Elephas maximus indicus: one gene and its partner. The protein of the gene in region 1 binds, or shares a complex with, the protein of each later gene. Links are inferred from orthologs where the notes say so. Each region holds a gene or a part of one and is shown in the gene's direction. Other genes may lie near its edges.

Region 1 (7,415 bases):
TTCAAAATGCAGAAAGCCCTGAAAAACAAAGCTTTTTTCATGAACCATTTGACAGCAAAATCTGACATGATCTGAATTTATTTAATGACAAAACCTGACTTAAACTGACATGAAGCTAAGTATAAAAGTCTTCATTTATTCCACTGTCTTACTTAGTATTGCTGTAACAGAAATACCACAAGCAGGTAGCATTGAAGAACAGATATTTATTTAAATTTAGTTTAAATTTAAACTTTTAGTTCTGGAGGCTAAAAGTCCAAATCAAGACCTCAGCCATAGGGATTCCTTCCTTATAGGTAATCCCTAGCCTTCCTTGGTCTTGGCTTATAGGTGGCCCTCACTGGTGTCTGTCTGGCTTCCTACCACCGCCCCCCCCCACCATGTGCACACATCTGTGTCTAATCTACTCTTTTTAAAACTCAGCTGTGATTAGGTTTAGGATACACTCTACATTGATGTGGTTTCATTAACATACAAGGAACCCTATTTTCAAACAGGATTACATCCACCGGGCATAAAGGGTTAGGATGACAACAGGTATTTTGGGTAGACACGATTCAATCTATAACACACTTAGTGTGATTATTCACCCATATATTTTGGTGTAGAAATATCATGTTTTGTTACCAGATGCTGCCATTTGCTCATAATACTTTGGGGGTATTTTGTTATATATGGTATATGTCTTCTGTTATCTTCCTAAAATATGAAAAATTCTGAAACACATCTGGCATCAAGGGTTTTGGATATATAATTGACAGCTCGAATTATTACCATTTCACATGTGAGGAAACTCAAAGGTGAAATAATTTGCCCAGACCTTTGAACCCTAAAACTATTTATTTGCCTTCTAGTCAAATCCCAAGAATAGTCAACACAGAAATGGAATGTCTTAATTTAGATAAAGCTATTAAGAACAGAATCTGCCTACACTATTTCAAAATGGTCTTCTTAGTGGGAAAAATAAACCACTTTCATGATGTTATATATACTAGTATCAGTTCAGAAATAGCATTTGATTGTCTGAAATTAATATCTTTTAACCAGTTGTTAAAGATGTTTATTAGCTAATTAGCTAATTTATGTCCTGAAACTGGCCTTAAAATTCCCCCAAAATACATATATTTTTATAAGCATCGAACCTTCTAAAAAGGTTTGTGTATATTAAATAATGAAATTACAGGTACTTAGAAATGGATTCTCAAGCACTTACTTTCATTAAATTGTTTCATTAAAAGGAACTAATTGATGACAGTAAATTCACGTTGTTCTTTCTAGGCATGATCACTGATCTTTTCATAGATAAGTTCAAATTCAAAGGCACCAATGTGAAAACCAAAGTACCTCTTCTTCTGGAGATTCTGGACAGTTATGACCAAAATGCATTGATTGCTTTCTTTGATGCTGCTTGAAATATAATCAAGGTAAAGTCCCAAAGAAGTGGTCTGTTTAAAAGGAAAATACTAACATAGAATTATAAACTAAATGTATATACTTTTATTTCAAATGCTTTTTGATGACATCTAAAAATATTTCAGATATGACTTTAAATAATGCTTCTATTTGCTTTGATGGTAGAACTTTTTAAAAATAAAGAGAATTTTTATATTTAAAACAAGTGGATGACCGTTTTGATCAGGGTCACAATAGATGGTCCCAGCTAGAATGGGAGAAAAATGTGGAGCAGAACTCAAATTCTTATTTTAAAAAAAGCCAGACAAACTGGAACAGTGGAGAGCAGAGGACTCCCTGAGATTATCACCCTGAGACACTCTTTAAACCTAGAACAGAGCCTATCCCGAGATCACCCTTTAGTGAAATAGCAGAGTGGCACACAAAGGATATTACATAAGATTGCTGCTCTACTTAAAAACCATCAGAATGAGATTAAAAGGTCAACAATTACACAAAACTAAGACGGGAAGATAAGGGGCCAGGGAAACTAGAGTACTGGAAATAGAACAAACAGAACACAAAGAATATTAGCGTTATGATAAATGTAACTAATGTCACTGAACAATTTGTGCGGAAATTATCAAAATGGGAACCTAACTTGCTGTATAAACTTTCACTGAAACTCAAGTATTAAAAAAAAAAAAAAAGTGGAGTAAGTACAAGGGATTTTAATGCATTTTTAGTAATTAGATGTTTTGATTTTTAAATAGAGAAATATTTGGAAAATCAAAATATATTCAAATGTTTTACAAGCTACCAAAACCAAAAACCACTTTCATTGCCGTCAAGTCCATTCCGACTCATAGCGACCCTATAGGACAGAGTAGAACTGCCCCATAACGTTTCCAAGGAGCACCTGGTGGATTCGAACTGCCAACCTTTTGGTTAGCAGCCATAGCTCTTAACCACTACACCACCAGGGTTTCCTTACTAGCCACCCACCCACCCACCCACCCACACCCACCCACACCCACACACATACATTTATGTGTAAACTGCTTTACAGTTTTCAGAATGCATTTGCGTACCTTACCTCATATCATCTTCGCATCAGTCCTGTAAGTTTGTCAAAGCTTGTAAGAAAACCAATTGTTGGTGAGGTTAAGTGACATGAGGTTAAGAGGACATGCTATTAATTTGTAAAGCTGGGACCAGAACCCAGTTTCTGGCACCTGCTTTGTGTCCCAATTACAATGTATGTTGTCAACAAGCGGAAATAAACTACCAGTTATTTTTTGTAGGAGCTGAGATTGCTTTATAGTGATTTCTGTCTTGTTCGGTAACATTTTGTGACCCATGCTGCAGCTTGTAAAATGCCTTAGTTGTCTCAGTGCTGTAAATTTCGGTCAGGGAAATGAGCAGCTTACACAGATGAGAGAGATCTTAACTACAAGTGCTGTGAGCAGTCAAGCTATACAAGTTGCAACACAGGAGGAGTGCAAAAATAGTGATAGCTTCTTGGATTTTCCTGCACTAGTATCACTAGTTTCCTTTTTATCCTATATGAAACGAAAATATTTTAAGAACACAGTTTTTTTGTTCATTAATCTTAATGTAAATTTATTCATTTTCAGGGGAATATTGTCAATATGAGTTGGAATTGATGGCAATGAGTTTGGTTTTATTTTATTTAACAGTCTGCTTTAAAAGGACAGATTATAATGGTAAAAAGGCTATTTTTCTGTTTTCAAGAAGTGTAGACTCATGAATTTGTCAGAAAACAATGCTTCTGAATTACATACCATTATATTTATTAGTTATGTGGAAGTCTTGTATATTAAATATGAGAATTTGTTAAAGGCACATATTATAGCTAAGACAGTTTTGTTTTAGTAAGGCCATTGTTTTTATTAAACAGTTTTCATTTCTAAATGGAACATCCAGGTCACTAGAATTTCATTGTTTTTTTGTTGGCTGCTTCTATATAAAAGGCTACTGGTTGGGGAAAAGTGTATAAGCATTAATGACTGTCCAGTCGAATTTCTTGTAGTACATTATTACTTGTTATATGTATCAGTAGTTCAAGACGGCACAGTAAATTGTATTTTCTTGGAAAAAATAAAAAGCATAAGACACAGTTCTGCCTACTGTGAATAAACACCGCGTCCTAACATGACATTATATCCTGCCACTTGAGTATTACTATGTGCACAGTGTTACATAATTTATGCACAGTATTTCATTTAATCCTAACGACAGTCCTATGCCGTGTAGGTATTACTTCCAATAAACACATAAGAAAACTGAGACTGGAGACATTTAATAATTTGACCAAGATTACCTGGCCAGTAAGTGGCCAAGTCAAATCTTGAACCTCGGGAAACAAGTCAGCCACGTTAACTGGAGGTCCCAGGGCTAAAGGCTGGGACGGCCCCCTAGTAATTGCTACAGTTTAACTCAGTTAATTTTAGAATGCATATAGACAGCCTTTAGCCTTGCGCACAGAGACCTCCCAGTGGTGCGGTTTAAAGTCATCAGAAACTCAGGTCTCCCCCGCTCCCGCCTTCACCGCGCAGGCGTTTTTCCTCCCGCGGCGGTTCGACGTTTCTCCGCTCCACCCCTGCTCAGTTGCCATCACTGCCGCCTGCGCTGACTGCGACTTTGTCGCCCTAGTGACGTCACGGGCCTCTGCGGCTCTCATTGGTCCATTTCAATAGTCGCGGGATACTTGAACTGCATGAACAGCCGCCGCTCCGGCGGGCTGTTCGCTTTATCTCGGGGCGTTCTAGGTCCTTGGTACTCCACGCCCGACAGTGCCTGCCTGCTCCTTTCGCAGCCTCCTCCGCCCCGCACAGCCCCTGCCAGGTGAGCGGGCAGGTGGGCAGGCTGGCCCCGACTGCGGCGAGCGGCGGCAGCTACAGCATTCCTCGGCTGAGTCTGCGCGCGGGTCAGCGGGGCGGAGTGCACGCTGCTTGGCGCCGGAGGCTGATCCCGCCGCCTGCCCCGGGGAGCAGTGATGTTGGGCAACTCTGCACCAGGGCCTGCGGCCCACGAGGCGGGCTCGGCGCTGCTAACACTACAGCAGACGGCCCTCCGAGAGGACCAGGAGAACATCGACCCCGAAAAAGCGGAGCCCGCCCAGCAGCCCCGGACTCGAGCCGGGCTGGCGGTACTCAAGGCGGGGAACCCACGGGGTCCAGCGCCGCAGCAGAGACCCAAGACGCGACGGGTAAGGAAGGACACGCGAGGTATCTGTCGGAGGGTGGGCCAGGCGAGGGTCGAGCATGGGCTTAGCAGGCAGAAGAGGGTGACGAGTAAGCATTCTTTGGGTATTTTAGGAGGGCGCGAGTCTGGAGTCCCCTTGGTCACAGATTTTCCGCTTTGTGGGATGCCACGGTGGTAGATTCTCTCATTCATTTTAGCATATGACCCCCGCCAACACTGCATGTGCTACTTATCTCCTATCTATTGGGGTCATCTTTGTAGATTTTGGGGTCAGACCAAGCCCTACAACGCGAATGTCGTCATTGCCCAGCTCATGCTTTCGCTTGTCTTTTAACCCCAGGCATTACTCTGCTCCGGGGCGAAGCAACCAGGTCTCTCCTTCCCCTCCCCATCTGGTTAAGAGAATGCTTCTACTTTAGAAAAGGGTACAAGAAAATACTTTTGGTAAATCCCGCCATTTTAGCCGGATTTGCTGTTTGCTCCACCCTAGTGTCAACTCTGCCTGTGACAAATTTTTACATCCCTTCTCTCTTTGACTACTCAAACTATTCTTGCCTGGACTTTTCCCTAGTTTAATTTTCCTGGTAGATATTTGAGAGTGAAAGCACAAGCTGAGATCCTTAAGGGGAAAAAGGCAAAGCTCCATTTAACAGGCTCAAAGACAGTTCTTTCTTTCTAGGTTGCACCTCTTAAGGATATTCCTGTAAATGATGAGCGTGTCACTGTTGCTCCATGGAAGGCAAACAGTAAACAGCCTGCATTCACCATTCATGTGGATGAAGAAGAAGAAAAGACTCAGAAGAGACCAGCTGAATCTAAAAAATCGGCGTGTGAAGATGCCCTGGCTTTTAACTCAGCTGTTACTTTACCTGGAACAAGAAAACCGCTGGGGTCTCTCGATTATCCAATGGATGGTAGTTTCGGTAAGTTTTAAAGAGATCTGTATGAATCAAGGTAGTATAATTATTAAATAGACTAGATTTTATATTTTAAAACATTATCTTACCTGATCATTACTACATAGTTAGCTTTAATGTAACAGGCTTAGAAATGGTGTGACTTGTCCCAAATATCACACCAAATACATGACCTAGTGACCTACAAAAGGACCCAAGTCCTAATCAGGTGTTCCTTCCAGTACGCTACCAATCAGTTTAATTACATTTCAGTCACATAGTCTGACCCTGGAAATGTTTGCTTGGTTGGGAGAATAGATTTCAGTTGCAGTCATAAGAAACCAAAAAAAAAAAAAACCAAACCCACTGCCGTCAAGTCGATTTCTGACTCTTAGCGACCCTATAGGACAGAGAAGAACTGTCCCATAGAGTTTCCAAGGAGTGGATTGCCTCCCATGGAGCTTCCAAGGAAGGCATGGTGGATTCAAACTGCCTACCTCTTGGTTAGCAGCTGTAGTACTTAACTACTACGCCACCAGGGCAGTGACTCGATTCATACGTACCACTTGAGAGAGTGCTGTGTGAGAGTGCAGTCTTAAATACTGTGTTGTCTGACATCTTTTCCAGCTCTGAAATTTTGTGTTGCTGTAACACCAGTCTGAGTAATCATCAGATACCAGAAAGGCACATTGTCTTCTTGTGTGTCAGTAGTTGTACCATGCCTGTTTGCACTTACCCACATACAAAATGGAGTAGCTTCATCAGACAGCTCTGTCTACAGTTTGTAGTGTTTCTTTTCTGCAGGGTTATTGAGTTACTGGATAGGTCATTGAATATAATCTCATTTTAGTTGTGGTTCTATTGATTAGGGAAGGGAGTGGGAAGTCCTTTGGAAATAATCTGTGTATTTTTATTTAAGATTTGTAACAATTTCTTACCTCAGAATGATCCTTGAAGTTGAAAAGAGTAATGGATGATATTCTTTGCCTCAAAAGATAATTTGAATTACAAAAAAAATCAATCATTTGTTGATTGTCATGTTAATCCACCTGTTTGAAGTACCCATAACAATCCTAATTTCCTTATTAACACACTTGTTAATGAACGCCATTTAGTCTTGCTTCTAGTTATTACCTTATCGTACTTTGAATATATCAGATTCAGGTTAGCAATCTCTTTTGGCAAATCCATGTACTTTTGTCATGAGAAGCCCTTTTACTTGGATGAAATGTTTTGGTAACATAGCATTCTTGACAAGGGCAGTCACTTTTAGCTATTAAATAGAAGATTAAACAATTAATCATATCTTTTGAATTCCTCCAGAGTCACCACATACTATGGACATATCAGTTGTATTAGAAGATGAAAAACCAGTGAATGTTAACGAAGTACCAGACTATCATGAAGACATTCACACATACCTTAGGGAGATGGAGGTAAAAGCTCTCTTGAGTGCAGTCGTATACTGTTAATCACTGCATGTGGCTAAATGAAATGGAGAGGTTAATTAGTGTTTTAACTGCTAGTGAACTACTGTAAGGTATATTTAACAGTATACTAACTTTTCTCAACAGGTTAAATGTAAGCCTAAAGTGGGTTATATGAAGAAACAACCAGACATCACTAACAGTATGAGGGCTATCCTTGTGGACTGGTTAGTTGAAGTAGGAGAAGAATATAAACTACAGAATGAGACCCTGTATTTGGCTGTGAACTACATTGATAGGTTCCTTTCATCGATGTCCGTATTGAGAGGAAAACTTCAGCTTGTGGGCACTGCTGCTATGCTCCTAGCCTCGTAAGTCCATTTTGGTTTTTTGGAATAAAAGTGATGGCTACCTCTCTGCGTAGGGAAAAAATGTGATTTTTAACAGTGTGGCATTCTGACATACTACACGA
Region 2 (6,917 bases), on another chromosome or scaffold:
GCTTTCCCTTTCCCTTGATCAGTGTTTCTCCACAGGACTCGTCACTTTCTTCCTAGTGCATATTTTACTCATTTGTTGCATTTATTTTCTGTCTCCTCTCTCCTCACTAGGACATAAGCTACATTCTAGTTTTTATTTGTTCACTTCTGTATCCCCAGAGCCTAGGATAATGCCTGGCTGGGTAGGCATTCAAAAAATATTTGTTGAAAGAAAGAACGAACAAATTAATAAAAAGTTTTCCATAAATATTTGTTAAATTGATTTAAAAGATTTAAGATACAGATGACTGTGAAATTTCCAAATTCTTTACAAATATGGCAAAAAAAAAAAAAAAGACAGGGAATGGTGATATTGAGTGAAAGCTACCTCATTATAAACATCCTTGAGGAAGGATTAAAATTATGTATTTATGGTGGAAGGGGCAACCGGGCAAGGAAACATGCACCATCAGAGAAATATTTGGGGCTACGTAATTTCCTCGTGAGAGGGCTCCATCTGGGAGCAGGGCTAACACAGCCCCACCACCTCATTTTGACACTTGTCTACTCACAGGTGTTTTAAGTTATTTTGGTCTTTGCCTCACTCCTCAGAACATGAAAGACAGACATCTGGCCTTGGCTATGTGAGACTTCTCAGCTCTAACTAGGAAACCACCAGAAGTGAAAACAACAACAAAAACACCACACACGACTAGATCCTGGGTCTTGGGGAAGCAGAGCCCATTTCTGAGCAGTGTGAGTGGAACTCTTTTTTACTCAGGCTCCGCCTTTGCACTGTTTATCTGAAAAATTTCTCCCTGGCTTACTCTTCTGCAGCCACCTACTTTCCACAGGAGCATGGCGCTCTGATCTCCACGTTCTCTCTTCCCTCGGGGACTCCATAGTATTTTTTTCACGCTTCGCTGATACTACAGCAGACGCCTGCCTTCTCATTATTTGCTGTACAGATCTCCGGTGCCTTGACTGTAAACAAAACACTTTAGATCATAGCAAGGTCATGTAAGCACAGCCCTTCTGCTGGCAGCCAGACTTCTTAAGGTGGCTTCACCGTGGCTCGTTTATTTCTCAAGAGTAACAAAGCAACAAAATGGTGCTCCCACATAGTAACTGAAGATTCAGTGTGTAGGGGATAGAAGTATTCATTTTCTACTTTTATACAAAATGTTAATCCCATTATAAAATTAAACTTCTGTGACAAGCTAGTACTCTAGAATTTCTCCATTCATGTATGTAGTAGTTTGTAGTTATTATTCACATATACGCATACATAATATAAAATTCCTCTGTAGTCTAGCAGAGATTTAAGAATTTGGGCAAAAACACCTTATTTCAGGGCTAGGATATAAATTAAGGTCGTGAAATCTATCTTAACTTTCCTGCCCCCCTTCCTAACCTAACAACTTAGTGGGGCATTAAACGTAGACAATTAAAGAGGATGAGACCTCCTGCTTTGATCCTAGGTGAACTCTTTTCTGTCAGCCAGGTAGCAAGCCCTGACTTTGAAACCATTCTGTACACTGTATTCCCTCACTGCTCCCTGGGTGCCACCTCTGTCCTTTTGGAATCTGCGTTTAGTTGAACTAGTTGATAGTGATATTAAAGGCCAGTAATGGCAACATTTAAATATCAGTGACCACAGACCACGTCAAGGAAACATCTGCAAGCAGTCCCGGGCCTGGGAAGGAGCCGTTTTGAACCACGAGTAGGAAAGGAAGGCCTGTAGCACAAGCTAATCCAGACAAAAACTTGAACCAGTTGGAACCATCAGGAAGGAAAACCCACTGCCACCGAGTCTATTCTGACTCAGCAACCATATAGGACAGAGTAGAACTGCCCCATAGAGTTTCCAAGGAGTGCCTGGTAGATTTGAACTACTAACCTTTTGGTTAGCAGCCATAGCTCTTAACCACTACACCACCAGGGTTTCCATCAGGAAGGAAAGGAACAGAAAACGAATCAGATTGTGAGATAGGAGACCTGTGTCTAGTCCTGGCTCTGCTACCAACTGAATGTGTGTCCCTGGACAGGAAACTTTTCTGAGCCTCAATTTTCTCAGTGGTAAAACGAGAAGGTTGAACCACAGGGTCCCCAGGGACCCTCCCCACACTAACATTCCAGAGTGTATACAGAGGACAAATAAGACGTGGTTGTGAAAGCAAGTTAAAAATCAAACTCATCGATAGCATAGGTGCATGAGAACACATTGCTGCTGTGCAATGTTGGAACCAAACCAAAAACCCACTGCTGTGGAGTGATTCCGATTCATAGCGGCCCTGTGTTAGAAATGGAGGTTAATTTCCAGTAAAATTTATTTACTTTGGTCCAAGGAAGATTATGTGTATTGGGAGTGGGACTGGGAAGGCAGTTAAAGACCCACTGAGCTATGACAACCCTGCCCACCCAGTTTTAACTTCCACCACCGAGCTGAAGACCAAACTGACTGATATGTTTCAATTTGCAGAGCGGAGAGGAGAAATGACCTAATCACGTCAGGCATGAGGACATGGTTGTGGTGGTTTTATAAATCATTTCATAACATAGACTTTGATTCTTAGGGGAAATATTTTCACCTTTCAACAGCTTGCAGTCCTCTGAAAGCAGCCAGTTGCATCTGAACGTAGTTTGGGTGTGTTGGAGCAGGAAGCCGGTGGGAGAGAAAGGTGGAGGAAGGAAGGAGCTGTTGCCTTTGGCGACTGGACTCAGGTAGAGGAAACTACTACAACCCGTGAAAGAATTGAAAAGTATAAAGAGAAGGAGGCGAGTTCCCACACGCAGTCAATGTCAGTGGCCTTAAGTGTACTGGGGAAGCAAGAACCTGGGCCAAGGGTGTAACCTCGGTTTTCAAAACTAAATGTATCTGAAACGGCTACAAAGTTTAAGGGACTTGGGCAAGCAGTCGAGCTTTTGATCTTTAGATTCTTTTCCAATGCGTGAGAGCTTGGGTTCAGAACACAGTATGAAGGCTGCGCCTGGCTACCTTATAGAAAGACATTAGCCCTGGCTTTTCCCCTTAACTTCTGGGTTAAGCCTGAGCTAACCGTTGCCCACCCCCTGTGGCACTCTGACATGGAGGCAGGGATGGGGTGCGCGGGGAGGGGGGTGGTCCTGGCCCTCGGCAAAGGTTTCCTGACCTCCTCCGCAGAGCACGAGGTGGGGGCCACTGCCTCGAGCCCAGAAGAAGCCTCAGCTCGCACCATCTGCCTCCGCCCTCCACTCCCCCGCGCCTCCGGCTCGGCGAGTGCAGGGAAAACAAGATCGCCACCGAGGCTCAAAACGTTGAGAGGAGAGCAACATTACAGATCATCTGGTCCAGCCCCTTCGTTTCACCGGCCAGGAGCTGGAGGTCTGGGCTAACGAGCGGGCGGGCCAGCCAGCGCAGCGCGGGGACCAGTACCCATGGCCCCGCCTGCCCCGCCGCAGAGGCCCCTCCCCAGCTTCCCGGCCGTTTGGCTAGTTTGTTTGTCTTATTTTTAATTTCTCCGAGGCCAGCCAGAGCAGGTTTGCTGGCAGCAGTACACCTCCAGCAATCACGGGACCAGCCAATCTCCTCCTTGCGCTCTCGGAGTCGGCGCGCTCTGGAAGGCGGAGAGGCGGCGGAACCGCGCCGGGGCCACCTTAAGGCCGCGCTCGCCAGCCTCAGCTGGGCGGCTCCCGGCGCCGCAACCAATGGATCTCCTCCTCTGTTTAAATAGACTTGCGGTGTCAATCATTTTCTTCTTCGTCAGCCTCCCTTCCACCGCCATATTGGGCAACTAAAAAAAGGGGGCTCGCCTTTTCAGGGTGTTTTTCTCCCTTTCCCTTCTCCCCACTTTCTCTCCGCTCCGCGACTCTGACGCCGGCAAGGTTTGGAGAGCGGCTGGGTTCGCGGGACCCGCGGGCTAGCGGCAGCCGGGACTTGGCCTGGCCTTTCCGCCCCCTCCTCCTTCCTCCTCCCCTCCCCTCCCCGCCCTCCCGCTCGCCGGTACACTTGATCTGCGGAGACTTTCGGCTGCCTCTCCGGGGCTTCCCCTTACTCCCTCCCCCAGATCCAGCGCGCTCCTGAAGCTCGGGCACTTACTTGTTGGTGTTTGTTTCTCTTGGCTCCGAGGGCAGTCGCAGAGCTTCTAAAAGGGGGTTGGGTTGGGTCGGGGCGTTTTGTTTTGTTCGGTTTTGTTTTTTGAGAGAGCCAGAGAGGCGGTAGTAAAGACTCGAGAGGAAGATGTCAAACGTGCGAGTGTCTAACGGGAGCCCGAGCCTGGAGCGGATGGACGCCAGACAGGCGGAGTACCCTAAGCCCTCCGCCTGCAGAAACCTCTTCGGCCCGGTGAATCACGAAGAGTTAACTCGGGACTTGGAGAAGCACTGCAGAGACATGGAAGAGGCTAGCCAGCGCAAGTGGAATTTTGATTTTCAGAATCACAAGCCCCTGGAGGGGAAATACGAGTGGCAAGAGATGGAAAAGGGCAGCTTGCCCGAGTTTTACTACAGACCCCCGCGGCCCCCCAAAGGCGCATGCAAGGTACCGGCGCAAGAGAGCCAGGATGTCAACGGGAGCCGTCAGGCGGTGCCTTTAATAGGGTCTCAGGCAAACTCAGAGGACACACATTTGGTAGACCAAAAGACTGAAACATCAGACAGCCAGACGGGGTTAGCGGAGCAGTGCCCTGGGATACGGAAGAGACCTGCAACAGACGGTAATGACCTTTTCAAACGTATATGCCTGTCTGGGGCAGCGCTTTGCTTGCTTGAGGGTCTTAAATTTAGCTCTTTGTACCGTATTCTGATCTAGATTTTGGGAGCGAACTTTATTAATCCTGGGCTGTGAATGCTACCTGCTGACTGCTTGTTTGTTTACGCTTTTTAAACCAGAATCCAGCGATGGGGTAATATCTGATATTTTCACTAACTTAAAACATCGCAGTTCCTTTTCCAGCCTTAGTTATGTGACAATGTTGAGATGTTTATCAACGGCCTTCCTCTACCCTGTGGAGAGAGCGATTTGGGGCGTAGAATACACTTTTTGTTACGTGAAAACAATCTGATTTTGTGCACTTAAAGGGCACTGTGATGAAGGATCCAGGATTGTGGGTGGAGGTAGTGGGTTTTTCATTCCCTGACTATGGGGTCAACTTGTCTGAGCCATTGTTTTTTCTAATAAAGATTGTGTGTGTGCTTTTTTTTTTTTTTTTTTGGAATTTCCCCTTGTCCTTAGATTCTTCTACTCAAAACAAAAGAGCCAACAGAACAGAAGAAAATGTTTCAGAAGGGTCCCCAAACGCAGGCTCAGTGGAGCAGACGCCCAAGAAGCCGAGCCTCAGAAGACGTCAAACATAAACCGCTTGGTGGGTTGATTACTAAGAGCAAACAACTGACACCCGAATGGGGCTGCAGGAACCCTGTGGGTCAGAAAACCCCAAGATACCTGATCTTCCTGGTTGCTGGCAGATAAGGAGCTCGTGGGTGTTTGTTTTTATTTTGTGAGGTCAAAAAAGTAGGAATGGGGAAACGTGGGGAATCACTGTGGGAATACTGTAATTCTTCAAAATCTACGTCCTGAGATAATTTTCCCTTAACACACTATACAGCTAGAACAAGTGTGCTAGGCAAGTACTTGTAGCCAAGACCCCATGAGTAGGAAGGTTATTTCCTTGTGAGTCCCACCAAAACATGCTGGGAACAATAGGTTCTTTCCTCATCTGAGTGAGAACTGGGGTAAGCCTCAGTCCCACTTCATGAGGACTCATTTCCCAGAGGTTCAGGTTGAGTCACTAACAGATTTTGAGGCCATACATTCAATGATTGGCTTTCAAATTTGAGGGGGGAAGTTAGGTACAAAAAGCTCACATTTGGTTAATCAAGTGATTAGAAATGTGAATAGGGTGGAATGTTGTGTTCTTTTCTTTTTACTGTTTTCATAGACTATCACTTATCATTATCTGGTTTCTGATAAATTTGGGGGAGAGAAGGAGCCTGCATATTTTTAAAAAAAAATCCCTAGTGAAAGCTCAAAAATACTAAAGTTCCTGTAGAATTCTGGTAACACCAAAGTTGCAAAGCAGAAGTTAAATGAACTCTGCCAGGGTAAGCAATCCAGGAACACGTCAGCATGTGTATGCTAATCATGCTATAACAGGACAATGTAGATATTTGTAGGGGAAATGGGTAGTACAGATCAGGGCTTGCCAAGGGTAGGTCTACCAGGCACAAGAGAAGTGGAGATTTTTCCATTTACTAAAATTTGATCACCATGTATAGCTAATTTGAATACTTTAGCACTCAAGTGGATTGGCTGTGCCTGATAATCAAACTGCATGTATTCTAGTAGTTTACAGGCTTCTTAAAAACGAGGACTGTTAACCCTTTTTTTTTTCCTCCAAAAAGCACACTTAAAGCCTAGCATTTAAAAAGATCATAGTAGATGTTGATATTAACTTTTTAAATCCTAGTTTATAAAATTTTTAAAATAAATTCCCACAAGGATTAAAGCGGGGTTCAGGTTTGTTGTGTTTTTAAAACATTATAATGTCATATGTATGACTTTTCCACACATGTATATATTTTTAGAGCTTATACAAAATGGCACTATAAAATCTCTCTATTATATACAGTTCTGTATGAAGTAGGAAAATTTTTCTTGAAGCAACCTTAACACATACAGCTCTTTTTGGTTTGTGACTTGTGGCTTTGCTCATTACATGAGCCGCTGTGAATCAGAACTACTGAATTCTGACCACATTCTGACATGCAGAGAGACATTCGTTAGTAAATGTTGCCAATTTAAAGAATCCTAGGAGTAGTAGTAAGGTCTGTTCAAAAGCATGTATGTGTATATTCTGTCTGTAAATAAGAGAATATTTATTTGTTCCTGAGTTTTTAAAAAAGATACTGATTGAATTTTCATTTGAAGGGCCTTTATAAATTATATTTAGTTTTTCAAAT

The links. The genes of interacting proteins can lie anywhere in the genome.
Region 2: the proteins of CCNA2 (region 1) and CDKN1B are in contact, whole or in part, in a crystal structure (PDB 1JSU), measured with the Homo sapiens proteins. The link is inferred for Elephas maximus indicus from reciprocal best matches to the Homo sapiens genes CCNA2 and CDKN1B. Residues at the interface, in NP_001228.2 of Homo sapiens: Met210, Ile213, Leu214, Asp216, Trp217, Glu220, Val221, Glu224, Met246, Arg250, Gly251, Lys252, Leu253, Gln254, Leu255, Tyr280, Ile281, Thr282, Asp283, Thr285, Tyr286, Thr287, Gln290, Arg293, Met294, His296, Leu297, Lys300; in NP_004055.1 of Homo sapiens: Lys25, Pro26, Ser27, Ala28, Cys29, Arg30, Asn31, Leu32, Phe33, Gly34, Val36, His38, Leu41, Thr42, Asp44, Leu45, Glu46, His48, Cys49, Asp51.

The regions. Positions count from the first base shown.
Region 1 is NC_064823.1:25,383,310-25,390,724, forward strand, and holds the start of CCNA2 (cyclin-A2), read left to right. Parts: upstream 1-4,411; coding exon 4,412-4,624; intron 4,625-5,299; coding exon 5,300-5,543; intron 5,544-6,839; coding exon 6,840-6,952; intron 6,953-7,090; coding exon 7,091-7,314; intron 7,315-7,415. Other genes in the region: BBS7 (Bardet-Biedl syndrome 7 protein), read left to right, coding at 1,279-1,412. UniProt on the Homo sapiens protein: Cyclin which controls both the G1/S and the G2/M transition phases of the cell cycle. Functions through the formation of specific serine/threonine protein kinase holoenzyme complexes with the cyclin-dependent protein kinases CDK1 or CDK2.
Region 2 is NC_064822.1:71,307,789-71,314,705, forward strand, and holds the start of CDKN1B (cyclin-dependent kinase inhibitor 1B), read left to right. Parts: upstream 1-3,900; 5' UTR 3,901-4,197; coding exon 4,198-4,672; intron 4,673-5,190; coding exon 5,191-5,312; 3' UTR 5,313-5,320; intron 5,321-6,917. UniProt on the Homo sapiens protein: Important regulator of cell cycle progression. Inhibits the kinase activity of CDK2 bound to cyclin A, but has little inhibitory activity on CDK2 bound to SPDYA. Involved in G1 arrest. Potent inhibitor of cyclin E- and cyclin A-CDK2 complexes.